4 linked regions of the Anolis sagrei genome follow. The protein of the gene in region 2 interacts with the protein of the main gene of each other region in a pairwise test. Links are inferred from orthologs where the notes say so. Each region holds a gene or a part of one and is shown on either strand. Other genes may lie near its edges.

Evidence for each region.
Region 1: the proteins of CBY2 (region 2) and CCHCR1 interact in binary tests that used the Homo sapiens proteins (3 or more experiments, as listed by UniProt). The two-hybrid records come from large-scale screens. The link is inferred for Anolis sagrei from reciprocal best matches to the Homo sapiens genes CBY2 and CCHCR1.
Region 3: the proteins of CBY2 (region 2) and LMO3 interact in binary tests that used the Homo sapiens proteins (3 or more experiments, as listed by UniProt). The two-hybrid records come from large-scale screens. The link is inferred for Anolis sagrei from reciprocal best matches to the Homo sapiens genes CBY2 and LMO3.
Region 4: the proteins of CBY2 (region 2) and NTAQ1 interact in binary tests that used the Homo sapiens proteins (3 or more experiments, as listed by UniProt). The two-hybrid records come from large-scale screens. The link is inferred for Anolis sagrei from reciprocal best matches to the Homo sapiens genes CBY2 and NTAQ1.

The regions. Positions count from the first base shown.
Region 1 is NC_090022.1:21,398,757-21,406,778, forward strand, and holds the start of CCHCR1 (coiled-coil alpha-helical rod protein 1), read right to left. Parts: upstream 3,328-8,022; 5' UTR 3,236-3,327; exon of another isoform or gene 3,195-3,235; intron 3,131-3,194; exon of another isoform or gene 2,889-3,130; intron 1,724-2,888; 5' UTR 1,707-1,723; coding exon 1,637-1,706; intron 505-1,636; coding exon 300-504; intron 1-299. UniProt on the Homo sapiens protein: May be a regulator of keratinocyte proliferation or differentiation.
Region 2 is NC_090023.1:141,537,502-141,544,183, forward strand, and holds CBY2 (protein chibby homolog 2), read right to left. Parts: upstream 2,001-6,682; 5' UTR 1,955-2,000; coding exon 1,034-1,954; 3' UTR 945-1,033; downstream 1-944.
Region 3 is NC_090025.1:182,067,681-182,076,017, forward strand, and holds the start of LMO3 (LIM domain only protein 3), read right to left. Parts: upstream 3,436-8,337; 5' UTR 3,103-3,435; coding exon 3,078-3,102; intron 1-3,077.
Region 4 is NC_090024.1:20,446,041-20,454,164, reverse strand, and holds the start of NTAQ1 (protein N-terminal glutamine amidohydrolase), read left to right. Parts: upstream 1-5,065; 5' UTR 5,066-5,192; coding exon 5,193-5,293; intron 5,294-8,124. UniProt on the Homo sapiens protein: Mediates the side-chain deamidation of N-terminal glutamine residues to glutamate, an important step in N-end rule pathway of protein degradation.

The sequences.
Region 1 (8,022 bases), on a different chromosome or scaffold from region 2:
CTGTTTTAATGTTTTAGTGTAAAATGAATTATTATGAATAATTATTTTATTAACTGTATGTGATATTATGGTTGGAAACCGGTCCGAGTCCCTCAAGAGAGGTGAGAAGGCCGGTATATAAAACTTTTAAATAAATAAATAAACTGTGGGAACTCACGCCACTCCCCGGATTCAAACCTGCAACCTTTCTGCAAGTTCAGCAGCTCAGCACTTTAGCCCACTGCACCACCGAAGGCTCCTTCATCAATAGATCGCGCAGAATTAAATGGATGAAACAACTGTTATATATGATTGCTTACCTCTTTCTGTTTCCAGCCTCTTCCAGCTTCTCTCCTTTTTTGCTCCATCTCTGGAGTTCATCCTTCAGCCGTTGGTTTTCCCATTTGAGTTCGGCTGCCTCCCAATTAGACTGCGAGGTGGCACACCAAGGCAGCCCCACAGGCCCTGGCAAAGGAGGGGCTGACCGGCTTTGGAAATGGGATGGTGGGATCAGCCCTCTGGGCTCTACATAAAAAACAGATGAACACCAAAGGCAGAGATGGACATATAAGTACTGAAAATTCAGACAATTGGATTTTATATTGGAGGGAACTTAGGGATACAACAGATCAGTATTCTAGGGGTTCATACTATGACAGATTCTGTCCGTTCAATCCACATTCTTGCAGAATTTGGTCAATGGTAAAAAATATTTACTGTAGTATACTTTCAATGAACCAGCACCCATGGGGATTAGTAGATGCTGGATAAACATAGTTTCTGGTTGCTTGAGAGTTACTATTAGAACTAGGCCTAACTACTGTATATTGTATATTGATTGTTATGATTGTTTTAACTGTGATAATTGTTTTAACTATGGTTTTGTACACTATGTATAATTTTTGTACAGGCATCGAATTGTGCCTTTTGTAAGCCACCCTGAGTCCCCCCTCGGGGGTTGAGAAGGGCGGGGTAAAAGTACCCGAAATAAATAAATAAATACTGTATTAGTATATCCTGCCTTTCTCCCTGTGGGGACTTAAATTAGAAAGGGGGGCAGAAGACAGTTCCACCTTGTCTCCTGTGCTATTCTAATAATAAAATATAATAAATATAATATAATATAGTGTATATACATATATTTATAATATTATAATGTAATGCAATATAATGTAATACTATAATTATATATGTATATTACATGTAATATTACTAATATTATTACAATACAATGTTATAGTACAATATAGTAATATTTAATACTGATATCGTATTATGCTAATAATATATATTGTATGTATATATATCTTGTAAACCGCTCTGAGTCCCCTTTGGGGTAAATGTCGTAAATACACTGTAGAAATAATGAGTTTGACACAACTAACTACCGGACCCACTGCTACGGAATCCTCGGAATTGTAGGCACCTTCTACACTGCTATATAAAATCCAGATTATCTGCTTTGATAATCTGGATTATATGGCATTATATAAGCATCTCTTCCAAAGATTCCACAGCACTGAAATTCATGAATACTATAGTGTAGATTCCATATGTGACACTGACAAGCACAGGACACTCATACTCCCAACTTCCCAAATAACAAAATCAATATTAACACACAAAGAAGCGATCTCAAATGCGCTCCTTTTTTTACCAGTGGATCTTGGCACTCCGAACGCAGCAGGAGGCTCCAGCTGTTTGTCTGAATCTTTCCTTCTATCCATGGCTCCGAATCATAATCCTTCAGAAATACATTCACAGAAGTTACAATTACAGGACCCACCACCAAAAAGAGAATAATAATAATAATATTGCTCCCTAGAAATCTTGAGATCCTCCAGCACAATTCTATGAACAATTTCTACTGAAAGCAGACTATAAAATAGCACCAAGGCCCCTTCTACACTGTCATATAATCTACATTATTGGTTTTGAACTGGATTATATGGCAGTGTAGACCAGGCATGGGCAAACTTTGGCCCTCCAGGTGTTTTGGACTTCAACTCCCACAATTCCTAACAGCCTACCGGCTGTTAGGAATTTGTGGGAGTTGAAGTCCAAAACACCTGGAGGGCCGAAGTTCACCCATGCCTGGTCTACACTGCCATATAATCCAGTTCAAAGCAGATAAACTGCATTTTATATGGCATTGTAGAAAGGGCCAAAATATGGATCTCTCAGGTGTCTGGCACTCATGGGGGTTGGTAGATTCTGGTTGCTTGGGAGTGCCTATTAAAAATAGGACTAACTAATACTATACCCCGTACTATACCATAAAGGTAAAGGTAAAGGTAGTCCCCTGACATTAAGTCCAGTCATGTCTGACTCTGGGGTGTGGTGCTCATCTCCATTTCTAAGCCGAGGAGCCAGCGTTGTCCGTAGACACCTCCAAGGTCATGTGGCCGGCATGACTGCATGGAGCGCCGTTATACCATACTATACCATACCATACACTTTAAATTTACTTGATATTAATATTGAAATGCAATAGTTAAAAGCAAATCAGGACAAATAAAATCTTAATATATTGCGTTATTATAAAAACAGCTATGTGACTGCACTATGCAATGTTGTTTTAAAAGTTTTGCTGGTTGCTTGAGAGTTCTGCTATCTGAAATTCTGGTTAATTGAGAGTCTACTATATTTGCATTCCATTTTACAGGTTGAGCATTCTTTTATTTCACATCCAATATCCTAGAGATCATTTTATACAATATTGTATATGTATATAAGGCATATATATATCTATATCTGAATTTCATGATGAGGTTTAGTTCTCCTCTCCAAGTTAATATCACTATGGAAATCAAAGTATTCCAAAATCTGGAAGGAAAAAAAATGCAAAATATTTTGGATAAGGAAGACTTTATCTGTGCTCTAGAGCTATTAATTTTTGTGTTACTTACCAATTGTTTCATGCACAAAATGATTAAAAAGTATTGGTTAACATTAGCTGCAGGCTATGATTCAAAGATATATGTCTAACAAGCAATTTTAATGCTTAAGAAGCCAGTCCTAACATGATCCTCTTTCTTCTTTTGCATTTCACAAGTCAGTTGGGTTTCTTTAGCACAAGCTGCTTTCTAAATCCTTTCTTTTACTCTTTAGAGCCCCCCTTTTCCCTTATAAATTGGTTCGTTCCGCTTCCCCCCTTTTCCTCCTTCTCATTGGTTCGCTCCGCCCCCCCCCCTTTTCTTTTTACATGAATCCACCGTTCCGAACCCTCCATCAACAGTCACTAGCAGCAACCCACCGACGTCGAACTGCGCATGCGCCAAACTCTCGCGTCCCAAGCTCCAACGGAGAGAATAGAAACCACACCGATCCGAAGAGAACGGAAAGATATGGAACGGTGACGTCACGAGATAGGCGGGACGAATGTTAGACACACCCCCTCGCGGTGTCTCAGCCAATCAGATAACGGGACAAGCTCTTTGTTGTTTAGAACGGGTTTTTTTTTCCTCCCCGCTTCAAAAGGGCGCGCGAAGAATGAGGACACGCCCCTTTTCCTCAAATCGACCAATCAGCGGATTGGATCCGAAAAAGCGGTAGAAACTTGTTTAGGTTGCCCATTAAGTGCATCTACACTATAGAATGAATGCAATTCAACACAATTTTAACTCCCAGGGCTCAATTACTATGGAATCCTTTAAGTTACAGATTGATGAAGCACAATTACTTTTTGGCAGAAGAGGCTCAAGACCTTATAAAACTACAGCTCCCATAATTTCATAGCATTGAGCCATGGCAGTTCAAGGGGTGTCAAAGTGCAGTCATTCTACAGTATAGATACACCCTAACTTTTAGTATCATAGAATCAAAGAGTTGGAAGAGACATCATGGGCCATCCAGTCCAACCCCATTCTGCCAAGAAGCAGGAATATTGCATTCAAAGCACCCCTGACAGATGGCCATCCAGCCTCTGTTTAAAAGCTTCCAAAGCAGGAGCCTCCACCACACTCTGGGGCAGAGAGTTCCACTGCTGAACGGCTCTCACAGTCAGGAAGTTCATCCTCATGTTCAGATGGAGTTCAACAAATGCACAGCCCATGAATATAAAGAGAAGCCTATTTCCAATTTTCTGCTGTAATGTAGAATCATAGCACTATAATTATATATTGTGTCATGGTACTGGATTTTTTAATAGTGGGCTGCACTATTTTTGCTCCATTGAAACTCATATAGAGCATTTTGTTGAATAATTGTCTCAATCCTCTTTACAAAGAAGAAAAGAAGGTCCTCTCCTAGTTTGCAGAATGCTTTGCAAATCATGCTGCTGTACTTGTTGTTCATTCGTTCAGTCGTCTCCGACTCTTCGTGACCTCATGGACCAGCCCACACCAGAGCTCCCTGTCAGTCGCCACCACCCACAGCTCCTTCAAGGTCAATCCAGTCACTTCAAGGATGCCATCCATCCATCTTGCCCTTGTTCGGCCCCTCTTCCTTTTGCCTTCCACTTTCCCCAGCATAATTGTCTTCTCCAGGCTTTGCTGTCTCCTCATGATGTGGTCAAAGTACTTCAGCTTTGTCTCTAGTATCCTTCCCTCCAATGAGCAGTCGGGCTTTATTTCCTGGAGGATGGACTGGTTGGATCTTCTCGCAGTCCAAGGCACTCTCAGCACTTTCCTCCAACACCACAGTTCAAAAGCATCGATCTTCCTTCGCTCAGCCCTAAGGTCCAGCTCTCACATCCGTAGGTTACTACAGGGAATACCATGGCTTTGACTAGGCGGATCTTTGTTGCCAGTCTGATGTCTCTACTCTTTACTATTTTATCGAGACTGGACATTGCTCTCCTCCCAAGAAGTAAGCGTCTTCTGATTTCCTGGCCACAGTCTGCATCTGCAGTAATCTTTGCGCCTAGAAATACAAAGTCTGTCACGGCCTCCACGTTTTCTCCCTCTATTTTCCAGTTGTCAATCATTCTTGTTGCCATAATCTTGGTTTTTTTGACGTTTAGCTGCAACCCGGCTTTTGCGCTTTCTTCTTTCACCTTGATTAGAAGGCTCCTCAGCTCCTCCTCGCTTTCGGCCATCAGAGTGGTGTCATCTGCATATCTGAGGTTGTTAATGTTTCTTCCAGCAATTTTCACCCCAGCTTTGCATTCATCAAGCCCCGCACATCGCATGAAGTGTTCTGCATACAAGTTAAAAAGGTTGGGTGAGAGTATGAAGCCTTGCCGTACGCCTTTCCCAATCTTGAACCAGTCTGTTGTTCTGTGGTCAGTTCTGACTGTTGCGACTTGGTCCTTGCTTTAGGCTAGGCTGAGGGAATCCCTTCCCCCCTGACACCTCTATCTATATGTTCACTCACTCTCTTACTCTCTTATTGCAGCTGCTGAGTGGGAGGGAACCAGACTACCAACCTGGTACTTTCCAACAGTCACTGAGAGGCCCTCCCGCCATCTTTAACTGCCATTCCACCGGGCCGCTGAGTGGGAGGAAGCCAAACTACCAACCAAGTAATTTCCAACAGCTGCTGAGAAGCCCTCCCACCATCTTTAACCTCCATTCTTCCAGCCGCTGAGTGGAAGGGAGTGTTGTGGCTCAGCTTGATTCTGAGCCTGAAACTGAACCCTCTTGTGAGCCTGAAATGTTCCCTGATGAAGAGGATGATGGGATTCAGATTTTTGGTCCTGTTCCTATGCCTTTGTCTGCACCTCTTGCAGACACTTCACCAGAGGAGTCAACAAGTCAGTTCTCATGGGAAAAGAATGCCAGCGAATTAGATAACGACCAGGGGCAGAGACCTTCACTTGCTCAGCCGTCTCATGCTGATACTGATAGAGAAGAGAGCAGCCTTGATAGTGATTAAATGAGCAGGCAGGAATGTTTAGATTGGTGGGTCAGGAGGAGTTTGCGGCTAGCCAGCAAGAAAGAAGCTAGGTCGATGAAAGGTCATCGAAATGCTTTCATGTTGGCGAGAGCGTAACGTTTTCTTGTTCGCAAAAGGTATTTAGGCTTCTGGTTAACAAGGGGAATGTGTCAGTTCATCGTGGCTTTTAGCACGAAGGTTTCTATGGAATAACCTTGGCTCTAAAGCAGCATGCTCTGGGCTTCCTGAATCGTGATTCTTGGGACTTGTGTTTCACTGTTTTTACCAAGGACTCTTGTTTGACCATTGCTTAAAGGATTATGTTTTATGTTCTTACCTGAGGACCTTTGGAATTGTGTTTTGCATTTAACCTTTGTCTTTGGAACTCTGTATTGCTTACTCTATGTTTTGACTTGGGTTTTTGCCTCAATAAACTACAAAATCTACAGCTCTTGTGTGGTAGTATTTGGGAACAAGGTGAAGCCTACTCTGAGTTGCAACAGGGAGCCAGACTACCAACCAGGCACTCTCTATCAGCTGCCGAGAAGCCCTTCCGCCATCTTTAACTGCCATTCCACCGGCTGCTGAGTGGGAGGGAGCCAGACTACCAACCAGGCACTCTAGCAACCGCCGAGGAGCCCTCCTGCCATCTTTAACTGCCATTCCACCAGTCGTTGAGTGAAAGGGAGCCAGACTACCAACCAGGTGCTTTCCAATAGCCACTGAGAGGCCCTTCCACCATCTTTAACTGCCATTCCACCAGCTACTGAGTGCGAGGGAACCAGGCTACCAACCAGGTACTTTCCAATAGCTGCTGAGAGGCCCTCCCACCATCTTTAACTGGCATTCCACCGGCCGCTGGGTGGGAGGGAGCCAGACTACCAACCAGGCACTCTAGCAACTGCCGAGGAGCCTTCCTGCCATCTTTAACTGCCATTCCACCAGTCGCTGAATGGAAGGGAGCCAGACTATCAACCAGGTACTTTCCAACAGCTGCTGAGAGGCCCTCCCGCCATCTTTAACTGCCATTCTACCAGCCGCTGAATGGGAGGGAGACAGACTACCAACCAGGCACTCTCTAGCAACCGCCGAGGAGCCCTCCCGCCATCTTTAACTGCCATTCCACCGGCTACTGTGTGACGGCGCGAGTGGCACCACCTATGTCTGTAGAACTGTTAGTTGCAAGATTTAAACTGTTGTATCATGCTTAATTCTGCTTTTTTACCCTGCTTATGTATAGTTGGATTGATTGGTTATTTATATTTGTCAATCAGTGTTGTTTGCACCAGTTGAATTGCTTTTTCAGCTCAGTTGTTTGGCTCCACCTCTTCCTGGCGGAGGGGAGTGCTTCCCTTTTTTATTCCACCTTCAGATTTTCTACGAGATGGACATGAGTAAGAGACTTGGCTCTAAAAGCCCCTGATTAAATTACCTCTCAGCACCAATTCTGAGGTTTTTACCCTTGAGACTTATGCTTCATGTTCAGACCAACCTGAACGACATTGGGAAGTCTCAAGCACCTTCAAGCCAGTTCTTTTGGCACCAGAGGAAGACCCTGAGTCTTCAAACTGAGGTTGTGGATTGCTCCGGCATTTACAGCCATTGAGAAAGAGGGACCTGGAAAAGCTTCTCAGCTGCAAACACCTTGGACCCAAGACAACCAGAGACTGTAATGTATATTTTCCTTCCCCCCCTTTGAAACTTCCAGCTTATTGCCTTAAAGAGATAACTCTTTGTGAACAATAAAACTTATTTTGAGTTATCTACAGTGTTTGGGTCTTTGAGAAATCCAGTTTCCTAAAGGAGGGCAAGAAGCAATCCCCTGGGGAAAGATGTCACATCCATGTCTCTTTCACTAAGAGCTATAGCCTCCAGGCGCGACGGCACAACTGAGTGCGAGGGAGGCAGACTACCAACCAGGTAATTTCCAACAGCTGCTGAGAGGCACTGCTGCCATCTTTAACTGCCATTCCATCAGCCGTTGAGTGCGAGAGAGGCAGATTACCAACCAGGCACTCTCTAGCAACCGCCGAGGAGCCCTCCTGCCATCTTTAACTGCCATTCCGTCCAGGGGCGGCTCAACACATTACACAACGTAAGCATTTGCAGTATAGTTGATTTTGCCCAGGGGTGCTCTTGAGGTGCTCTTGGGGGGAAAATAGACCTTGACATATGCGAGTTGTAGTTACTGGGATGTATAGTTAACCTACAATCAAAGAGCATTCT
Region 2 (6,682 bases):
CACTTTTCCAGATCCAAATACCTACCCTTTTCCTAATCTGTCAGTGACAAATTTACACTTTTTCATGCATACTTTCCCATCTCTGCAGGGGCAAAAATAACTTTCTATTCACTCTAAATTAGAAAACATCATCGTGCCTTGTTTATTATATTTCTAAACAAGCATCAAATGGAGTAAACAAGCATCAAATGGAGTAAAAACTCATATGTGTACATGCTCTGTTTAATATTATAAAGTTTAAAAGAAAGAGTTTCAGAGAGTTCTCATTGCTTTCCACTTGTGCTTCCCTTGAGCCACCTGTGTATCCATGGCCAGCTGATCGGGTATTTCAGGCTTTTAAAAAGCACATGTGCGCTGTAGGAGTCCACACAGGGGGGAGGGAAGGGAAGCAAATGTTTTGTATGACTACATGTATATATAGTTATGAGACAGTGCACATTTTGGAGACGGAATCAGATTTTAAGCGAATCTTTTTAACATGTGCTTTCCAACTGTTAACCCATTTTAGCCTGCACTTTGGCTAAACAATCCCTTTTAACCCAGTTACTTTTCTGGGTTTTATGTGTAGAAGAACCCTAATTTGTTTTCAACTTATGGTGACCCTAATGTTAACCTGTCACAGGGTTGTCCAAAGGTTTCCATGCTGAGACTCTGTCTCTAAAGTCATAGTCCAAAGCCCATACCACTGCATCACATCAATCTTTCCTTCTGAGATGTTCTTGTGGCTATTCCTTGCTGCTGGTGATCCTGTCAAAGCCCTGGCTGCCCTCCAGAATAAAGAAATGATCAGGGTGATGGACTTGGTTGCCCCTGAGGGTCCATGGAGTGGGGCTGATCTGGGGCCCTGGTTTATCAGTGAGCCAATGGCATTGGAAGGAAGGTCTAATAATTCAAAACGTCATTACTGCTTTTTGAATCAACAACAGAACTTTATTAGCTCTTACATCACAGGAGGGAGATAATTTCCTGAAAGTAGATGGACTTCTATTCAACCTATCCGATCTCCCTGTAGCTGTTCAACTAACAGGCTTCTTCATTCAGTATTCTCTGACTGACTCTCAATTAAATCAAAGGCGTTAAGCGTCTCTTGCAGCAAGCCCATCTGAGCGATAATATTACTGATAGCATCTTTGGTGGTCTTTTGTTGGAGCTTAAGTTTATTGTTCTCCTCCCAAAGTATTTTGTTCCCTCCTTCATTATTCTGGAGTGCCTGCTTATCTTCCAGAAGTGTGTGGTTCTCTTTTATGAGAAACAATACCATTTGGTTCAGTTTCTGAACAGTTTCAAGTACTTCGTTTTCTTCTAACAGTGATAAGGCAGTTTGTTGCCTTTCTTTTTCTGAGGTGGCACTGCTGTCTTCTTGTGTTTCTGGTTCAGCTGTAGCAGGCTCAGCTGATGCAGAGGTATTGTTTGTTTCCTGCTCAAGGGGTTCCTTTCCCAATAAGAGGTCAGATTGCTTTTCCTTCTGAAGGACTGGGGTGAGTTTCTTCTCCTCCTCAGGAAAAACCTTCAAAGCCAAAATCTTATCCCGAAAGATTTGAAGAGCTTTTTTCTCTTCTTGGATAAATTGAAGGGCTTTGTTTTCCTTACCCCCCTGGAGTCCTCCTTTGCGTGAAAGAGCTACTAAAGGCTTATTTTCCTGTTGGAGCATTTGTTGAAGACTCTCATCATAGATAACCTGAATACCTTTGTTCTGTGTCCTTAGACACTGGAGTACTTTATTCTCTTCCCGAAGTGCCCTGTTTTCCACTCGGAGGGCCTTGTTTTCTTCCCAGAGGGCTTTGTTTTCTTCCCAGAGGGTCAAGTCACTGTGCATCTTCTTGCTATAGTGTTTCTTGTGGGCTTCTGCTGAAGAGGAAATTGCTGGTTGAACAAACGATTCATTCACCCACTTGCCATCTAGAAAGACAAAGGTGTCATCACTGAGTTTGACCTTCGGCGGGATGCAGTCCATCTTTACCTTCCACTAGGTGCATATATTGGTTCAAAAGAAAGTCCGAAGACCTGGATTATTGCATGAAAGTGAAGAAATACACATTAAATTATATTATTTGATAGTTTATCAGCAATATGCATTAGTTATAATCAAGCACTCTGAAATCGGTACAATTAAAATAATGAACCATGAAAAACATTAAGTCTGTTATAAAGGCTACAAAATGAAATTAAATGAAATCACATGAGATTAAGACATTCTCGAGTCAATGTTTGTAGTTCTTTTTTCTTCTTTTGGAAAATGAAACATTTTAAAGCCAATAATTTGTTTAAAGCCAAGCCAGCTTCCCTAAGAATTGCCTTCACTAAACTGCTTTGTTAAATAATGCCTGCCGCAGTTCTAGATAAATGCTATAATAAAGTGCTATTTGAAAACAGATTATTTCAAACAGGTTAACTATTTGAAATCAGTTAACAAGGTAGATGTGTTTCTGAGCTTTACTTCTTTAACGGAAAATGTGCACCAGAGGAAGAAATAAGAAGGAAATAATAGGTATAGGTTCTTACACCACAACTAAGGAACAGTTCAATATGGTTTTTCCCTGAAAAACAGTATGCACATGGGAACAAAACAATTAAGTTGGCTAAATGTTGTATAAGTAGTCTCTACTCACATTGACAGAGCTCAAAACTCCTGCAGAAGTAGAAAAACTGCAAAACGCATTCTATGGATCGCCTGTCATTCCCTTTCTCATCTTTCACCACAAAGCCTCAGACAGATCTTAAACCCCTTTCCCAACTATTGACTTCCTCGCCCTCTGTTACCAGATTTTAAATCCCTTTTCAGCTACATTACTTTGGCCCATTCCACACAGCTGAATAAAATCCCACATTATCTGCTTTGAGCTGGAATATATGGCAATGTGGACTCAGAAAACCCAGTTCAAAGCAGATATTGTGGGATTTTCCGTCTTGATATTCTGGGTGATATGGCTGTGTGGAAGGGACCTTTGTCTCTCCTTCCATGTCCTTCCAAAAGCACCAGTCCCTCTCCATTCACCACCTTTGCACCAAAACTTGCCTTCATTCAGTCATTATACACAATAAGTTCTTTTGTAAAATGGATTCATGATATTTGTTATAAATATTCTATTTAGGTAGGAGGGATAATAATTATGAAGCTTCATCAAATATTCCATATTTTCCCACGGAATTGTCTCATCTAGCCAATTGAAAAAAAAGTTTTATTTATTTATTTATGACATTTATATGTCGCCCTTCTCACCCCGAAGGGGACTCAGAGCGGCTTACAAGGTATATGTTACATATAATATATTAGATTATTAGCATAGTACAATATCAGTATTAAACATTGCTATATTGCACCATACCACTATATCGTAATATTATTAGTAATATTACATGTAATATAAATATATAATAATAATAATAATAATGTATTATTATTATTATTATTATATTGCATTACATTATAATATTATAAATATTATATGTATATACAATTTATTATATTTATAATTTTATTATTTTAGAATGAAAAGAACCATAATGTAGTACAATGTTTGATATTCTCAACCTCCCTTTTTGGTAAACGTAACTGTTTTTAGAAACTGTTGCTTCCAAAAAAAAAATGGCCAATTTTATACATTTGTTGTAGATGGCGTAGTGCAGGGATAAGCAGCTGTGGAAAGCTAGAGTCTACATATCGTCTCCAAGAGCCTAAACCTCCCACTTACTCTTGAAAAATATGTGGGGTTCCTTGGACCCCTCAAGAGCATTGTGGGTAATTTTACGTGGGGAAAGAATGGAGATATTTGGCAAACATTTGTTTTGATTGCGGGGATTCCAAGAGGGAGCTCCAAACATGGTAAAAATACTTTCCACAAACCCAAATCTTCCTGTGGGGTCATTTTGAGGGACAATTGATCCTGGGAAGTCTTTTTTCCAACCCCTACTTTAGTGGAGTAACATGATATAAAAATAACAGTTCGGAAAGATTGTGAATTTTAGTTGTTGCTAGAGAAAAAGCATTGAAATATTTAACTTCACATTCATTCCACTTATTTTTAACCAATTTGTGAAAGACATGTAGTTTATTCTAACGAACAGATTAAAATATTTTTGATAATAGCTGTGTATTTAAAGTGAGAAAACAAATATTGAACTTCAATTAATGTTTATATTTTTATCATGGTATTCCCTGTAGTAACCTACGGATGTGAGAGCTGGACCTTAGGGAAGGCTGAGCGAAGGAAGAGAGATGTTTTTGAGCTGTGGTGTTGGAGGAAAGTTCTGAGAGTGCCTTGGACCGCGAGAAGATCCAACCAGTCCATCCCCTAGGAAATAAAGCCAGATTGCTCATTGGAGGGAAGGATACTAGAGACAAAGTTGAAGTACTTTGGCCACATCATGAGGAGACAGCAAAGCCTAGAGAAGACAATTATGCTGGGGAAAGTGGAAGGTAAAAGGAAGAGGGGCCAACCAAGGGCAAGATGGATGGATGGCATCCTTGAAGTGACTGGACTGACCTTGAAGGAGCTGGGGGTGGTGACGGCCGACAGGGAGCTCTGGCGTGGGCTGGTCCATGAGGTCACAAAGAGTCGGAGACAACTGAACGAATGAACAATCATGTCAGGTGCGACATGAGAAACTGCAAATTGCTTCTGGTGTGAGAGAATTGGCTGTCTGCAAGGACATTGTCCAGGGAGCACCCGGATGTTTTACCATCCTGTGGGAGATTTCTCTCATGTCCAAGATAAGAAGCTGGAGCTGACAGACAGGAGCTCACTCAGCTCCCTGGATTCGAACTGCTGACCTTTTTCGGTCTGCAGTCCTGCCAGTGCAAGGGTTTAACCCATTGCACCACCAGGGGCTCCATTTAATGCCCGTTCTTTCTAGGATGTCATACGCTGTTCCAACAAATGGGCTATTTTTCTCCCTCACCAACAGTGCTTTATAGAGAGCAATGAGCATGCTGAATCTCATCAAGCTGTTCGCAGAAGCTTGTCTTTTCTTTTAAACTTATGTACAAACATTATTTGGCATGTGGTGTGCCTGGTTCACTGTCTAGATGACAGGCATGGAACAATTATTCTGGTATTAGAGGGAACAAACAAAGAATCCGAACAAGTTTTCTAACCAGTTTCAAAAAGGAGACTTGATCAGAGTTTGTAGAGTTGAGAACGAGTATCTGGAGTGATGGGATCAGTAGTAAGTAAAAACATTTTAACTTTAATAAACTTCCCATTCTGATTGCTCCTCTTACAAGTTCTAAAATACTAAATTACTTAGTTGTTGTAGGTTTTTGGGGTTGTAGGGCCATGTTCTAGAAGAATTCTCTCATCCTTAGAGGTTGTGAGGTTTGTTGGAAACTGGAAAATTGGGTTTATATACTGGTAGCCAGTACTAAAAAACTCTAAAATTATAACAGTAAATAAAAAACAAAACTCAAACGCAGGGAAACTCCAGCCAGGAAACAATCAGGAACACCTGGTCACTTCTCAACAAGGAAATTTCCCAGGCAGAAACAAGCCACACCTAAAAGCTGCCAGGCCATCAAATGCTAATCAAGGTGGCTAATCGAAACATTCACGCCTAGCTCCAACAGACAAAAGTTCTTTCTCCCCCTGGACCTTCCACAGATATATAAACCCTATGTTCCTAGTTAGCAACAAACCTCACAACCTCTGAGGATGCCTGCCACAGGTGCAGGCAAAACATCAGGAGAGAATGCTTCTAGAACATGGCCATACAACCTGAAAAACCTACAGCAACCCAGTGATCCCAGCCATGAAAGCCTTCAACAATACACTAAATTACTTAGATTTGTGTTGGCTGCTAGTTTAGTATTCATCTTTTCTTCTCCTCCAAACCTTCACAGGTTTTGTTGACAAAAGAGAGTTGGCAGAAATATTTTGCTAGCAATCTGGAAATCCTACTCAGGTCTTTAAATCATATACAATTTGGGGGGGCAAACTATGTTTGGGAGAATAGTATGACAAGTAGAAATTGAGTGTTCCTTATCTGGAATTTCAAAATCTAAACTACTCAAAATCTTGAAATTGTCTGCATGGGTGGCTAAGATAGTGACACCTTTGCTTTATGGTGGTTCAATGTAGAATTGGCAAAACAGCTTTAAGGCTGTTCTTATGAGAGAGTGGGGTAAAGAGGTGTCTGGAATACTTTGGTTTAAGAGCCAATGGGGAGAAAACCCATGCAAAAGGAACTAGCGTTGTGTATTGATACATGGGATGAAAGCCCATTGAATATTTAAATTGCTTTACCTATACATGTATTGTGCAGTCACTTATTTTTCATATCTAACAATGTCATTTGTATGATTAGCAACTCTTGTTATTTTAAATAAAGTTTATTATGCTTTGAGCACCTTGTTTCCAGAATTGAGTCTGCCTGTATGTTACAAACAAGCAAGGACTACTCGTGACATGCCACAACCAGTAGGGAATAATTGGTCAGATGGATAGAAGTGACCACCAGTATAATCAGAAGTGCACTTTGGACTTCAAAAATCCTGTTTCAATATGAGTAAGATTTCAATATGAGTGAAGTTAAAACACGAAAAAGTTCATGTAGTTTTTTTTCAAGTGAGACATTAAAATTTCAATTGTAAACAATTCATTTAAAAAATAAAGGAGACACTAAAGAAATGAAATGTGTTTAAGAAACACACAGGAAGAGTAAAGAGAACTGGCCAATGTTTGTAGTG
Region 3 (8,337 bases), on a different chromosome or scaffold from region 2:
GACTCCCATGCACACAGACAACTTATTTCGCAATGCAGTAAGCCTGAAACTTCTTCAAGACTTTAGGGCTTGGGACTTACTGCAGGAAGCTCAAACCAAGGGGGCATCATATGAACTTGCATGCCAAGCTGAGTCTGCAAGCAGATGCATTAGTAGATAGGGATTAAGGACACTTTGGTTAAGACACTCCAACCAAGCATGTTCCAGACCAATTGATGTCAATATAAGGCAACCCTTAGGAAATCAGTACGAATGAAGGTTCCTTCAATTTGGCTGAACTGTGTCTACATTTTTCTCCTCAAAAGTGAATCTCCATAAAGGTGAAAATGGATTATTTTAACCTGCTCCCTGAACACTTGGACTGGGTAGAGAATTCAACACAGCTCTCTCTTTCTCCATTTCCTAATTCTCCCCTTCACAACACCCATCCCAGATTGCAAGAAATATTAATTGGGGCCGCTGAGTTATGATTTTCAGCCTAGTCCTATCCATTAGCAAAAGAGCATACCCAGTTCCTTATGCAGAATGTTTCCATGCTAACCAAGACCTTCGAAGTTTGCTTCTGTTCGCCATCGAAACGCAAAGGGTGGCCATGAATTGTGAACATATCACATTCTCTCTCTACTAAGATTGACTTGCAAACAGAAATATATAGGGTTGGGCTGTGAGGCAAAACTGCACAGTGCCTACTAAATACCTATGAACAAGACATGACGTTGTACATATTTACTGAGAAGCGGACAAAATTGATTTCAGAGGGACTTGGGCTCTCTGCATAAATGTGCATAAGGCAGCAACCTTAACAATTTAAGACCCTTTCCAAAGCTAGGATGCTCCAACTTAAAGGCTGTTGGGCGTGCAGAAGTATTTGAGCGCTGAAGTTCGGGGGAGTGCTAATCCAATGCTCAAAAAGTAGCTGCTGGAACTCCCTCGGTAACACACACTTATTCAAGGAAGGAATGCCTATTTCGACAAAAAGCCATTTTGATAAACAGGCACGTTCTGGAATTCCTCCCCACACCTCAGGAGTCCTTCAGACTGGCATGCAAATTGTTTGGTGGGGGGAAGAAAATCCTATTGCCTCAGAGGCCCCTGCTACATTTGAATTGTTTGACAGGTTAAGGGAAATCATAATTAAAGAGGGAGAGAGATGGAGACAGACACATGGAATAATAGCCATGCAGCGTGGCAAGCCAAGAAGAAGCAGGAGCCATTGCATTTCAAAAACTCTGGTGAGTTTTTAATTGCCAGGATTGCATTGTGCGCCACCCCAATGCTCCATTGCCTCCATTATGTTCCCTAGCTCTGTGCCATTCATCTCCCCTCATACCCTCCCTACACTTTCAGATACAAACACAACAAAGTGATCGCAACTCCGTAACACCCAGGACTTCACCCTGCCACCTTTTGCCATTCGGAACATGGGACTTTTTGTCTACTTCACGCTAATTGCTGTCATCCTCAAGCAAGGACATTTTGTTTTCAAAACCACACACATGCACACCGCCAGCACTCTCTCCCTCACAAGACCACCACATTTCTGCCATACTTGCTGGGAACTTTGGGTGCAGCTTTGAAGAAAGAGGAGGGTAGGGTAGGGTACAGATTAGGGTAAGGTGGCATTTTTTGCAGCTAGATATGCCATCACATAACTAGCACCCAGTGGCGCAATGGGTTAAACCCTTGTGCTGGCAGGACTAAAGACTGACAGGTCAGAGGTTTGAATCTAGGGAGAGCACGGATGAGCTCCATCTGTCAGCTCCAGCTCCCCATGTGGGAACATGAGAGAAACCTCCCACAAGGATTTTTTTTCATGTCAGGAGCAACTTGAGGAACTGCAAATCCTACAAGGATGGCAAAACATCAAAACATCCGGGCATCCCCTGGGCAACGTCCTTGCAGATGGCCAATTCTCTCACACCAGAAGCGACTTGCAGTTTCTCAAGTTGTTCCACACACACAAAAAAACAAAACAAAAACCTAACACCAGCTCAGAAGAAAGAAATTGGTTCTGCCAAGAATGACAAAAGGCTTCCTCCTCACTTTCCGCCCTCCCCTCCTTGTCACCTCCTCTATTTCTGAAAAGCCATTTGGTTTCGGGCCTAAAAGCTTGTTTCTCTGTTCATTGGCCCACATCTTCTCTATATCCTCCAGCTCTCAGAGGGATAGGAAGTGCAAACATCTCTCTCTGTCTTCCTCATATATATATATATATATATATATATCCATCCCACGCCAAGAACTCAAGTGTGGCTGTTTTCTTTAAAGTCTGTCACCCATAAACTGTTTAATACACCACTTTTCCCCCTCCCATTTTCCTTCCACCTCCCCCCCCCCCCCTCTGCCCCTTTCCAAACTGAATGCGGTGCTGCTGGAAGCCAATTTGATTCTCTCCTCCCCTCCTTTCTTCCAATGCAGCTGTAAGACTCAGAGAGATACTGACATTTTTCCACTCTTATCAGTTTAATTACAGTTACCATGGCAGCAAAGTGCTAGTGGTTGGCAAAGGCCAACAAGAGATTTGCAAGAGTGAGCTCAATTTTGATGCAGTTCACATGCAAAAAAAAGAAAAAAAAAGGGGAGAAAAATTAATACACACACATTCTCACCCACATAGACAGACACAGGAGCAGGACAGAGGAAACACACACTTTAACAACAAAGACCCCTCCTCTTTTGTATCTCTAACACAATTCTGGCTCTTCTCATCACCCCTGCCAGAGCCAGGCAAGGACAGCCTGTGCCTTGGCTTTGTTGTCCTAGTTATTAGTATTAGTAATGCGGCAGGGAGAAGGGGAAAAGAAAGAGATCCATCACAATTCCTAAATCAGATCAGGAGGGGTTGTGTTTGGAGATCCCCGACCCAAGGCGTTTGCAGAAAACACCATCCTGTCCAACAGGACAGTTCAGGACAGGCTTGGATGGATGGCCAAAGGGTAGCTTTGCTTTCCCCCTGTTCCTCCCTCGAAATAGATATATAGAGTATAGACACACACATATAGACACAGGGATGCTAGAGGGAGGGAGAGACGGACAGACAACTCACACACCCGAAGACGCGATGACAACAACCTTACCAAAACTTTTCTCCTTTTTCTGCATGAGGGGATGGCAGGGACTTCCCAGGGAGCTGCTTCGCTTTGAGCCCAGGCAAGGCAATGGGCAAGCAGGCCAGCCTCCCCAGCCCCCTCTTCCTCCCCGTGTGGGTCCAGTGGAAGAGGAGAGTGCTGGACACCGGGGAAGGAAGGAGGCGAAAGAGAGAAGAGAAAGAGGAGGGAGAGAAGGGCTATTGTGCAGAGAGAAGCACTTGGGAAGAAGGCGACGCTTGGGCTGCGAGGAAAAGCCGCGCGCACTCGCTTTCTCTCTCACACACACAGCCACAGACACACACGCAGGACGCCTTTGCCAGCGTGAAGTCCTCTTAGGGAAATCCGTGTGTGTGAGAGAGAGTGATGATAGTGGCGAAAGGAGGACAGATCCCGGTGGCTCCCTGAACTCTCTTCTTTCCCGATCTCGGGGTTTGGAAGGAAGAGCCATGCCACAATAGTAGGAGGAAACATCCCAGCCAGAAAGGAAGGATTGGGGCTGGAGATCAGAGAGAGAGAGAGAGAAGAGAGACGAGTAAAGAGTAGGAAGAGATCTCCATGACAAAAGCCGGGGAGGCTGCTTTCCAAGCTCCGATCTTTCTCCAAATTGATCGCGAATGGAGAGGGCAGGAAGGGCTCAACATTGCGCCCTGTCCACACCGTTTCGAGCCTCTTTATGAAAGAGTTGGGGTTTGGAAAGAAGAGAAAGGGAACCCGGTTCCTATCTAGAGGAGAGGGGGAAAGGGTTGGAAGGAAGGCGAGGAAGGAAAGCAGCTGCTCTCTTTCTCTCTCTCTCTCGCCACGGCGTTGGAGAGGCGCGCTCGCCGCTTCGGGGCAGGAAAAGGCCAGCCTGGGCTCCATTGTTTGACTTTGTTCCAACTAGCCACGCCAAGCGGGCCCTTCCTTCCCCAAAGTCCGAGCCAGGACTCTCCGGTGCCCGGCCAAAACCAGACGAGTCAAAAGCGCACACACACACCTCCCCAAAGTGCTTCCAGCCCAAAGTTGCAGGGCAGCAAGAGGAAAGAGGAAGAAAGGAGGAGAGAGGGGTGGGTATGGTATGGGGGCCAGGAGGGGGAAAGAGAGGAAGCCCCAAGCCCCACATCCTGACCCAGAGCCCTCCCTTCCCGCCTCAGGCTCCCACTGGCCCCAACTTACCTTCTCCACTCGACACGGGCAAAGTCACTTCGGGACCCCTAGATGCCACTTTCGAGGCGCTCTCCTTGGGGAAGGACAGAGATTGCGCGCAGCATGGTCGGAGGGGGAAAGAAGAGAAAGAGAAAAGAGGAGGGAGGGAAGGGAAGGAAGGAAGGAAGGATGGAGAGAGGAGAGGAAGGAAGGGAAGAGAAGAGAGGGAAGGAAGGGGAGAGAGGAAAAGAAGGAGGGAAGGTAAGGGAAGAGAGGAAAGGATGGAAGGAAAGAGAGGAAAGGAAGGAATGGAAGTAAGGAAGGGAAGAGAGGAAGGAAGGAAAGAAAGAAGGAAAGAGAGGAAAGGAAGGAATGGAAGTAAGGAAGGGAAGAGAGGAAAGGAAGGAAGGAAAGAAAGAAAGAAGGAAAGAGAGGAAAGGAAGGAATGGAAGTAAGGAAGGGAAGAGAGGAAAGGAAGGAATGGAAGTAAGAAAGGGAAGAGAGGAAGAAAGGAAGGGAAGAGAGGAAGGAAGGAAGGAGAGGAAAGGAAGGAATGGAAATAAGAAAGGGAAGAGAGGAAGAAAGGAAGGGAAGAGAGGAAGGAAGGGAAGAGGAAGGAAGGAAAGAGAGGAAAGGATAGAAGGGAAGAGAGGAAAGGAAGGAGTTGAGCGGACGCGGAGAGAAGGAGGGGCGCAGAAAGAGGGCGCCTGCTTCTCTTCCCCCCAAAAACTAAAGAAACGGAGCCCCAGCTACAGGTGGCCTTTCTAGGGAAGGGGGACAAGGATGCCTGTGGGTTTAGGCTCAAGCCAAAGGAAGCCTTGGAAATCGGGACCGAGAGAGAGAGAGAAGGAAAGAAGAGAGAGGGAGGAGGGAAGGAGGGAGGAGAGAAAGAACTTACCTAAAGCAGCAGCGTGCTTTGAGCCGAGCTGGAAGAAGTCAGGGGCTGAACCAACTGCAGGACGCAATCCCTTAACCAGCCAGACATAATACAGCAAAGGGGGGGAGAAAGGTCACTCGTGTTCTCGGCGTGGAGTGGGATTTGGAGAAGCAGGAGAGGAGCTGAGGAACTGGCGTCCGGTAGCAGGCTATTTACCTCCTTCCTCTCTCTCTCTCTCTCTCTCTCTCTCACGCACGCACACACAGCCCCCCTCCTCTCTCCCCCAACCCCCTCCTTCCCTCCTTCCCCTCCTCCTCGTCGCCCCCCGCCTCCCTCTCGCAAGCCGCAAAGCCCGCTCGCCACAGCGCAAAGCAGCCCGGAGACAGATTGGGCTTTGTCGCTCACCCCCCCCCCCCCCCCCAGTGAACAGTTTACGAGGCGGCGAGTTCAAGTCGGAGGAAAGCAGCTGCAGGCGCCAGGCACGAGCCACCAAGCTGGGATTGGGGGGGGGGGGAGGGAGGGAGAAGCCCCCCACTCAAATCCCCTTCTCTCTGCAAGAAATCCCTGCCACATTCCCAGGAGACGAGAGGGCCGCTCTCCCTTCCCCCAAAGTTGGGAGCCCAAGAGCTCCTTCGTGGCGCCTGTCACTTTCCTCCCACGTGGAGCCCCCCATTGAAGGCTGGGTTTCCCCCTTTGGGAAGAGAGGCCCTTGGGCTTCCTAGGAAGGGAAGGGTTGGAGATGGGAAAGGGATCCTAAAAGAGAAGCCTTTCTTTGTGTTGTCGAAGGCTCTCATGGCCGGAATCACTAGGTTGCTGCGAGTTTTCCGGGCTGTATGGCTAGGTTCCAGAAGCATTCTCTCCTGACGTTTCGCCCACATCTATGGCAGGCATGCTTAGAGGTTGTGAGGTCAGTTGGAAACTAGGTTTATATATCTGTGGAAGGTCCAACTCTTGTCTGTCGAAGGCAAGTGTGAATGTTGCAGTTGGCCTCCTTGATTAGACTACCCAGAGAAGCCATGGAAATCCACACAAGCATGTGGGCAATTGCAACAGAAAGGAGGAAGCCATGAAAATGAACAAAATCTGGCGACCAGTATTTAAAAAACCCACCAGAATCAAAATAGTAAATAAAGAACAACACTCTGAAAACAGGGGACTTCCAGACAGGAAACAATGAGGGCCATCTAACACCCAGGAAGGAATCAGCCAGGCCTTGAAGCTGCAAGGCTTTTTGGTGTTAATCAAGGCATTCACACTTGCCTCTCACATATATACCAAACCATACGAAAATGATCTTAAATAATATAAAGGCTTGAAGCTGCAAGGCTTTGCAATGCTAATCAAGGTGGCCAATTGCAACATTCACACTTGCCTCCAACAGACAAGAGTTCTTTCTCCCACCCTGGACCTTCCACAGATATATAAACCTCCCTTGTTTACCTCCCAACAAATGATTCTCCCAGGCAGTAAGAAGCCAGACCTTGAAACTGCTAGGCCATTCAATGCTAATCAAGGTGGCCAGTTGCAGCATCCACACCTACCTCAAATGGACAAGAGTTCTATCTCCCACCCTGGACATTTCACAAATATATAAACTCCATTTTCCTAGTTTCTAATAGGCCTCACAACCTCTGAGGATGCCTGCCCTAGATGCAGGCAAAATGTCAGGAGAGAATGCTTCTGGAACATGGCCACACAGCCTGGAAAACTCACAGCAACCCTGAAGCCTTTCCTCACTCCCCCATCCCTTAAAACTTAGAAATCCAGACTTGGAAGAGGCACAAGGGCCACCCAGTTCAACCCTTCCCTCTTTCAGGGAAATACAACCAAAGCATTCCTGACAGATGGCCCTCCACGCCTCTGCTGAAAAACCTCCACAGAAGGGGACTCCAACACACTAAAGCACCACATTCCACTGTTGAACAACAGCTCTTCCTGCCAGGAAGTTCTTCCTAATGTTTAGGTGGGATCTCTCTTCTCTACAATGTGAATCCATTGCTCTGTTTCCTAGTCTCTGGAGCAGCAGAAAACCACCTTGGCTTCTTCTTATACATCCTTTCAAAGGACCTTTTGGGGACTAGTTCAGGAATTGCAACAGGGAGGTTTTGAAGAAGGGGTAGAACAGGTTTGGGCCAACTTGGGGACCTCTAGGTGTTTTGGACTTCAACTCCCACCATTCCTAACAGCCTCAGACCCCTTCCTTTTCCCCCTCAGCCGCTTAAGCGGCTGAGGGGGAAAAGGAAGGGGCCTGAGGCTGTTAGGAATGGTGGGAGTTGAAGTCCAAAACATCTAGAGGTCCCCAAGTTGGCCCAGGCCTGCTCTAGACATCCACCAAGGCTGGATGCTCTCAACCTGAGCTAAGTTTCAGGCCCGGGATTGAAAGCATACACATTTCAGTGCAGTGCTGGATGCTGCTCCCTCTCACAAAATATTAAGAGATGGGGCTTCCTATCCCCCCCCTTCCCGACCCCACGTAGAGCCTCCTTCTGGTGTAAATAACCCCCCACCTCCCCCCAGGCGCCTTCCCTTTTGAAAAGAGTCAACCCTACAGCTGGGAGAGGGGAAAAAAGGGGGGAAGAAACCGATTAAGAATTTGCCAGCGCCTTTTGCCAGACTTCAAAGCGACCCTCGCTTGCCTGCCATTAAGAGCCTCACACCAAGATTGCCACAAAGGTTTTTTTCCCCCTCCTTAAAGATGTCAGAATCCCCCATCCCTTAAAGAGAAAATGAATGACACCCATTATGAGAAAAGGTGCTTTGCAAAGCTTTTGAAGCCTAGGAGGGGTTTGTCATCAGCCTGGCTCTTCCTAAGGCCAGATAATGCACCAACCCTAATAAATAATAATAATAATAATAATAATAATAATAATAATAATAATATACATCACACAGTTCTAGACACTTGGAAAGTGTCTGAGGTGTGATCCAATACAACAGCCAGCAGAGTGATCTTGTCTGCTGTGGACTCATCTTGATGTGTTTCAAATAACAACAACAACAACAACAGAATATTAATAGCAATCACAACAATAATAAGCAGCAAGAAATGGAAGGCACAAATGTCCAAGTGGGGCTTACCCCCTCCTCCCTTATGGGACTTATGTTACATACCAAACTATACAAAAACTAAGCCTTGAACCTGTATAGCTTTGCAATGCTAATCAAAGTGATTAATTGCAACATTCACACTTGCCTCCAACAGACAAGAGTTCTTTCTCCCACCTTGTACATTCCACAGATATATAAACC
Region 4 (8,124 bases), on a different chromosome or scaffold from region 2:
GATTTTCCAGAGGGAGCGCTGATGGAATCGTTCCAGGAGTTGCATGTGATGTCTGTAGACTGTCCACGTCTTGCAGGCATATAGCAGGGTTGGGAGGACAATAGCTCTATAGACAAGCACCTTGGTATCCCTGCAGATGTCTCGGTCCACAAACACTCTCTGCTTCATTTGGAAAAATGCTGCGCTCGCAGAGCTCAGGCGGTGTTGTATTTCGGTGTCAATGTTGACTTTGGTGGAGAGGTGGCTACCAAAGTAGCGGAAATGATCAACATTTTCTAATGTTACACCATTAAGCTGTATCACTGGCATTGGAGAGGGGTTGGCTGGTGACTGCTGGAACAGCACCTTGGTTTTTTCAATGTTCAATGACAGGCCGAGCTTCTCGTATGCTTCTGCAAAGGTGTTTATAGTGGCTTGTAGATCTTCTTCTGAATGAGCACAGACAACGTTGTCATCAGCATATTTATTTATTTATTTATTTATTTCGGTTGCTTCTACCCCGCCCTTCTCACCCCGGGGGGGGACTTAGGCGGCTTACAAAAGCGAGGCACAATTCAATGCCCGCATCACATACAGCAAAAGACAATAACATCATTTAACAACAACAATTCTATCAATAACAGCAATTACCATAAAGACAATAATTATAATAGGTAAGAACAACCATAAAACCAATAAAAGCAATAAAATCCATACAAACCTCCTTGACGGTCAGCGTTTCACATTCTCATAGTTTAAATTCAAATTCCACAATTGTCAGCCCTTTTAGTCCTATTCATCTGGTTTCCATATCTAATTGTCAGGTTGCCCAAAGGCCTGGTCCCACAACCACATCTTTACCTTCCTCCTGAAGGTGAGGAGGGATGTTGACGCCCTAATTTCCCCCGGGAGTGAGTTCCACAAGTAAGGGGCCACCACTGAGAAGGCCCTGCTCCTCGTCCCCACCAGCCTCGCTTGTGATAGCGGTGGAGTCGAGAGCAGGGCCTCCCCGGATGATCTCAAATTCCGGGGTGGGACGTAGAGGGAGATACGTTAGCCGCCCTGAGTCCCTCTGCGGAGATAGGGCAGGATACAAATTCCCAAAATAAACCTCACTTGCCTTGTTTTCAACAGATCTCACAACCTCTGCGGATACCTGCCATAGATAGTGGTGAAACATCAGAAGAGCCTGGAAAACTCACAGCAAGCCAGTGATTTTGGCAATGAAAGCATTCAACAACTATTTATTTATTAGATTTAATAACCTGCCTTTCTCCAGGATTCAGACCCCAACTATTACTAGGTTACAGGAGTCTATATTTCAGAGGAAGAAAGTGGCAGAAATTATTTCTTGGGTATTAGTTTCCCTAAAACCCTTATGCAGAACTCATTCCTGTTCCCAAATCATATAGCTATTATTATTATTATTATTATTATTATTATTATTATTAGCTATTATTATTAGCCATTCTTATAGGTATGTTCACCTTGGTCCAGGAGTGCTTCAAAGTGGTTGCAGAGTCTGTAAAGTCTCCAAAAGGCTGGCTATTATTGGGTTGCTGGTTATTACTGAGGGAATTATTATTGTTGTTGTTATTATTATTATTATTATTATTATTATTATTATTATTATTATTATGGAAAGCTATTCTTAAGATAAATTTACCTCTGTCCAGGAATACTTCAAAGCAGTTGCAGAGTCTGTAATGTTACCAGAAGGAAAGCCAGCTCTCTCTTCCACAAGTCACTTCCCCTTTGGAGACCATTAAAATCCTTGCAACTTCACCAAGAGGTGGGACTTTCCTCAACATTTCTTCAAGGAAAAGCTTCACCTGTTTGATCAGAGAGTGCTGCTGCCTCACCAAACTGCAACTCCCAGGATGCTATCTCTCAGGGTACATCTATATACTATGGAATTAATACAGTTTGACACCACTCTAATTAACTGCCCTGGCTCAATCCTGTGGGATACTGGGATTTGTAGTTTGGCAGAGAAGAAAAGCTGGTAAAACTAGCTTTTCCCAGGTATATATGTTACATATTATTTTAATCTTTGCTCTGTGTATTTCAATATGTATTTTATAGAAGTGCAATTTAATATGCATCTTTTATAGAAATACATTTTAATTTGTATTTATAGAATACCTGCTCCCTGGTGGGTTAAACCGCTGATTTGCTGAACTTGCTGACCAAAAGGTCGGCATTTCAAATGAGGAGCAGAGTGAACTCCCCGTTAGGCCCAGCAAGAGTGAGTAGATTAATAGGTACTGCTTCTGTGAGAAGGTAATGGCGCTCCATGCAGTCATCCTGGCCACATGACCTGCGATGCGTCTACGGACAATATCGGCTCTTTGGTTTAGAAATGGAGACAAGCACCACCTCCCGGAGTCAGACACAACTAGACTTAATATCAAAAGAAACCTTTACCTTTTTATAGAATTTTTACAATGTTTATGTGTTTTTTAACAATGCTGGAATCCACCTCCAGGCACAAGGAATGCTAACTAAAAAGTAAAATTACACTATGTAACAAAATTTGAAAAAAAGTGTTCCTGAATTGAAAATGTTACTTCCTGTTTAATTGTGTGATCCTTTGAAAGAAGTTGCTACACTCCAGAAACTTTGTATTTGTGGCTGCCACAAACTATGAGATATGTGTATATATGTGGTTTTGCGAATGCATTGTAATGTAACTTTTATTTTTTGGCTTTTTAAGTATCTCCCGCTGTGTTTTTCAGTGTTTTTATGAGTGATGGTCACTTGTTGGGCTGATAGGTGTATTGCGTCCAAATTTGGTGTCAATTCGCCCAGTGGTTTTCGAGTTATGTTAATCCCACAAATGAACATTAAAATTTAATTTATATAGATACTAGATGTATCGGCCACACGTTGCTGTGGCCAACTACCCCCCCCCCCCTCTTTCTCTCCTTTCTTTCTCCCCTTCTTTCCCTTCCTCTCTGGGTGTGTATATATTTGTATATATGTGTGTATATATATATGGTTTTGCACATGAGTTGGAATGTATTTTGTGTTTTTTGGCTTTTTAAGTGTCTTCTGCTGTGTTTTTCCATGTTTTTATGAGTGATGGTCACTCATTGGTCTGATAGGTGTCTTGTGTCCAAATTGGATGTCAATTCACCCAGTGGTTTTTGAGTTATGTTAATCCCACAAACAAACATTCTATTATATAGACTAGCCGTCCCCTGCCATGCGTTGCTGTGGCCCAGTCTGGTGATCTGGAAAATAAAGTAATGAGAAAGTGTTGGTTTCTAATCTATGTAATTTCTTTATGCTTATGGGTAAACAGTATTTCTTACTGTTTCTTTGTCAGTGTTGATGTAGAGATTGTCTGTTTTGCCTACTCTGGAACATGCAACATATCATTGTCCTTCTTTAGGTGTCCCTCTCAAATCCATGATACTATATCTCTCTCTGTGTGTAAATCGTATATATCTATCTATATCTATGGCTGGATGGCTCTTTGTCAGGAGGGCTGTGATTACGTTTTCTTACCCTGGTGAAGGGAGTTGGACTGGATGGCCTTAAGTATTTTCTATTAGTCATAGGGGTTCTGTGTGGGAAGTTTGCCCCAATTCTATCTTTCATGGAGTTCAGAATGCTCTTTGATTGTAGGTGAACTATAAATCCCAACAACTACAACCCACAAATGACAAAATCAATTTTTGAGTGGGTTGTTGTAGGTTTTTTCAGGCTATATGGCCATGGTCTAGAGAGGCATTCTCTCCTGACGTTTCGCCTGCATCTATGGCAAGCATCCTCAGAGGTAGTGAGGATGAGTGATGATCACTCCTTGGGTTAGTAAGTGTCTTGTGGCCAAATTTGGCGGCAATTCGTCCAGTGGTTTTTGAGTTATATTAATCCCACAAACAAACATTACATTTTTATTTATATAGAAGAGGATATGGATGTTAGATTGCCAGCCTTAAGCTGGTGAAACCTTTCCCATTCCTTTATCCCATTACATATGACATATGATGAATCCTATCTATCTATCTATATATAAATGCTCTGTGCATAATGAGTACCTTAAAAACAAAAGAACCAATGAACGAAATCACACCAAATTTGGCAACAAAACGTCTCACAACACAAGGAGTGACCATCACTCAAAAATTTATGATTTTGTCATTTGGGAGTTGTAGTTGCTGGGATTTATAGTTTACTTACAATCAAAGAGCATTCTGAACTTCACCAATGATGGAATTGAACCAAACTTGGCACATAGAACTCCCATGATCAACAGAAAATACTGGAAGAGTTTGGTGGGCATTGACCTTGAGTTTGGGAGTTGTAGTTCACCCACATCCAGACAGCACTGTGGACTCAAACAATGATGGATCTAGACCAAACTTGGCACAAGCACTCAATATACCCAAATATGAACATAGATGGAGTTTGGGGGACATAGACCTTGACATTTGGGAGTTGTAGTCACTGGGATTCACAGTTCACCTACAATCAAAGAGCATTCTGAACCCCACAAACAACAGAATCGGGGCAAACTTCCCACACAGAACCCCCATGACCAACAGAAAATACTTAAGGCCATCCAATCCAACTCCCTTCATCAGGGCAAGAAAACGTAATCAGAGTCCTCCTGACAAAGAGCCATCCAGCCATAGAGAGAGAGAGAGAGAGAGAGAGAGAGATGATTCACACACAGAGAGATATAGTATCATAGATTTGAAAGGGACCCTTAAAGAAGGACAATGATATCTTGCATGTTCCAGAGTAGGCAAACCAGACACTCTCCACATAAACACTGATAAAGAAACAACAAGAAATACTGTTTATCCACAAGCATAAAAATTAAATATATTAGAAACCAACACTTTCTCATTACTTTATTTTCCAGATCAACAGACTGGGCCACAGCAACGCGTGGCAGGGGACAGCTAGTATGATATATACATATATGCACTCTTCCTCCCTCCCTCCCTCCCTTCCTTAATTTTTGCTTTCAATCAAGAAGCAACACAGTGACCCGGAACCCCACTTCTTGTGCCGTGTTTCCCGGGGAAGGTATTGTTTATGGCGCCCGTTCCCTCTCCTCTGCTTGGGGCGCGCGCCTTCCAAGCCAGGCTGCCACTTCCGGTTCCTCTTCGGCTCGCTCCTCTCTTCCTGCCCAGCTTTCCTTCCTGGGGAAATGAGCCCCCCAAGCCTCCCCCATCGCCAGGCCCGTGGGTTCCCGGATGGAGCAGCAGGCTCTCGGGCTTGGAGCAGCCTCAGCCTCGCCTGCCTACCGGCCCGCAGCCTCAGACCGGCCTGGGTGCGTCTACACCAGCTGCTATTGGTAAGGCTTGGAAGAGGCCCCAGAGAAAGGCCGTTCATCACTCCCAACCCCATTCTGCCAATGCAGGAATACACAGGCCCGTCCCACACAGTCAAAATACAGTACATACATCAACACATAGATTATAACATGCATCTCGTGTCTTTATTGACAAGCTGAGATCTGACCAGAGGAGGGCAACTCAAATGATCAAGGGTCTGGAGAACAATCTCTATGAGGAGTGGCTTAAAGAGCTGGGCATGTTTAGCCTGCAGAAGAGAAGGCTGAGAGGAGACATGCTGAGGTCTATGTATCAAGATGTGAGGGGAAGTCATTGGAAGGTGGGAGGAAGCTTTTTTTTCTGCTGCCCTGGAGATTAGGATGCGGAACAATGGCTTCAAACTACAGCAGCATTTCTCAACCTGGGGGTCGGGACCCCTGGGGGGGGAGTCGTGAGGGAGTGTTAGAGGGGTCGCCAAAGACCATCAGAAAACACAGTATTTTCTGTTGGTCATAAGGGTTCTGTGTGGGAAGTTTTGGCCCAATTCTATCGTTGGTGGGGTCTAGAATACTCTGATTGTAGATGAACTATAAATCCCAGCAACTACAACACCCAAATGACAAGGTCTATTTTCCCCCCAAACTTCACATTTGGGCATATTGAGTATTTGTGCCAAGTTTGGTTCACATTCATCACTGTTTGAGTCCACAGTGCTCTCTGGATGTATTTGAACTACAACTCCCAAACTCAAGGCAATGCCCACCAAACCCTTCCAGTATTTTCTGTTGGTCATGGGAGTTCTGTGTGACAAGTTCCGTTCAGTTCCACTATCGATGGAGTTCAGAATGCTCTTTGATTGTAGGTGAACTATAAATACCAGCAACTACAACCCCCAAATGGCAAAACCAACCCCACGCATATTCAAATTTGGGCATATCAGGTATTTGTGCCAAATTTTGACCAGTGAATGAAAATACATCCTGCATATCAGATATTTATGACGATTCATAATGGTAGCAAAATGACAGTTTTGTTATGGTTGAGGGTCACCACAACATGAGGAACTGTATTAAGGGGTCACGGCATTAGGAAGGTTGAGAACCACTGAACTACAGGGAAGGACATTCCATCTGAACATGAGGAAGAACTTACTAACTGTGAGAGCTGTTCAGCAGTGGAACTCTCTGCCCAGAGTGTGGTGGAGGCTCCTTCTCTGGAGGCTTTTAAACAGAGGCTGGATGGCCATCTGTTGGTGCTTTGAATGCGATTTTCCTGCTTCTTGGCAGAATGGGGTTGGACTGGATGGCCCACGAGGTCTCTTCCAACTTATGATTCTATTTGGAAAATAAAGTAAACACAACATTTTTTATTCTGTTACAGAACAGATGATACTATGAACATTTTTGTCAAAATTCTCTTTATTCTTTGTGCTTCCACCGCCCCCTTATTTTTATTCAACTCTTCCCCCCCCCACACACACACACCCCCACCCACACACACCCCCACCCACACATCCCCACCCAATTGCACCCGAGGCTACCAAGATCCTTCAAGTGCAGTATTGCCCTATTGATGCTGCCTAGAATTGTATGAGCTTTTTTAAGCTGCTGCTGTTGACTCATGTTCAGTGTAATGGTTTAGGCAACACAGATAAAGTGACTGACATTCCTATGTTATCTAGGTGCTTCTCCATGATGACACCAAATTTGGAGGGATAGCCAGTAGTCCAGAAGACAGGAGCAGAATTCAAAACGATCTTAACAAATTAGAGAGATGATTGGCCAAAACTAACAAAATGGAGTTCAACAGGGACAAATGCAAGATACTCCACTTAGGCATAAAAAATGAAATGCAGAGATACAGAATGGGGGATGTGTGACTCCAGAGCAGTACATGTGAAAATGATCTTGGGGTCTTGGTGGACAACAAGTTAAACATGAGCCAACAATGTGATGTGGTGGCAAAAAAAGCCAATGGGATTTTGGCCTGCAGCGATAGGAGTATAGTGTCTAGATCCAGGGAAGTCATGCTACCCCTCTATTCTGCCTTGGTCAGACCACACCTGGAATATTGTGTTCAATTCTGGGCACCACAATTGAAGAGAGATATTGACAAGCTGGAATGTGTCCAGAGGAGGGTGACTAAAATGATCAAGGGTCTGGAGAGCAATCCCTATGAGGAGAGACTTAAAGAGCTGTGCATGTTTAGCCTGAAGAAGAGAAAGCTGAGATTATACATGATAGCCATGTATAAATACATAAGAGGAAGTCATAGGGAGGAGGGAGCAAGCTTGTTTTCTGCTGCCCTGTAGACAAGGACTCAGAACAATGGCTTCAAACTACAAGAAAGGGGATTCGACATGAACATTAGGAAGAACTTCCTAACTGTGAGAGTTGTTCAGCAGTGGAACTCTCTGCCCCAGAGTGTGGTGGAGGCTCCTTCTTTGTAAGCTTTTAAACAGATGGATGGCCATATTGGGGGTGCTTTGAATACAATTTTCCTGCTTCTTGGCAGGGGGTTGGACTGGCTGGCCCATTAGGTCTCTTCCAACTTTATGATTCTATGATTCTGTGATGAGAATTTCTGAAGTGGCATGAGAGGCATTCATTACACGATCTAAATACTACTACAGGATATGCCAATTCATTAAGTGCTGATGATAACTTGCCTTTGCCTTCCCCTGAGCCGAGATGATACAGCTTATTTATTTACTGTACTTATACCCACCCATCTCACCCCTGAAGGGGGGCTAAGGGCGGCTTACAAACTATGATAATAATTCAGTGCCAGATTCAGGCAATAACAGTATCAGTAAAACATAACATTATAAAATTGTAATAAATATACATAT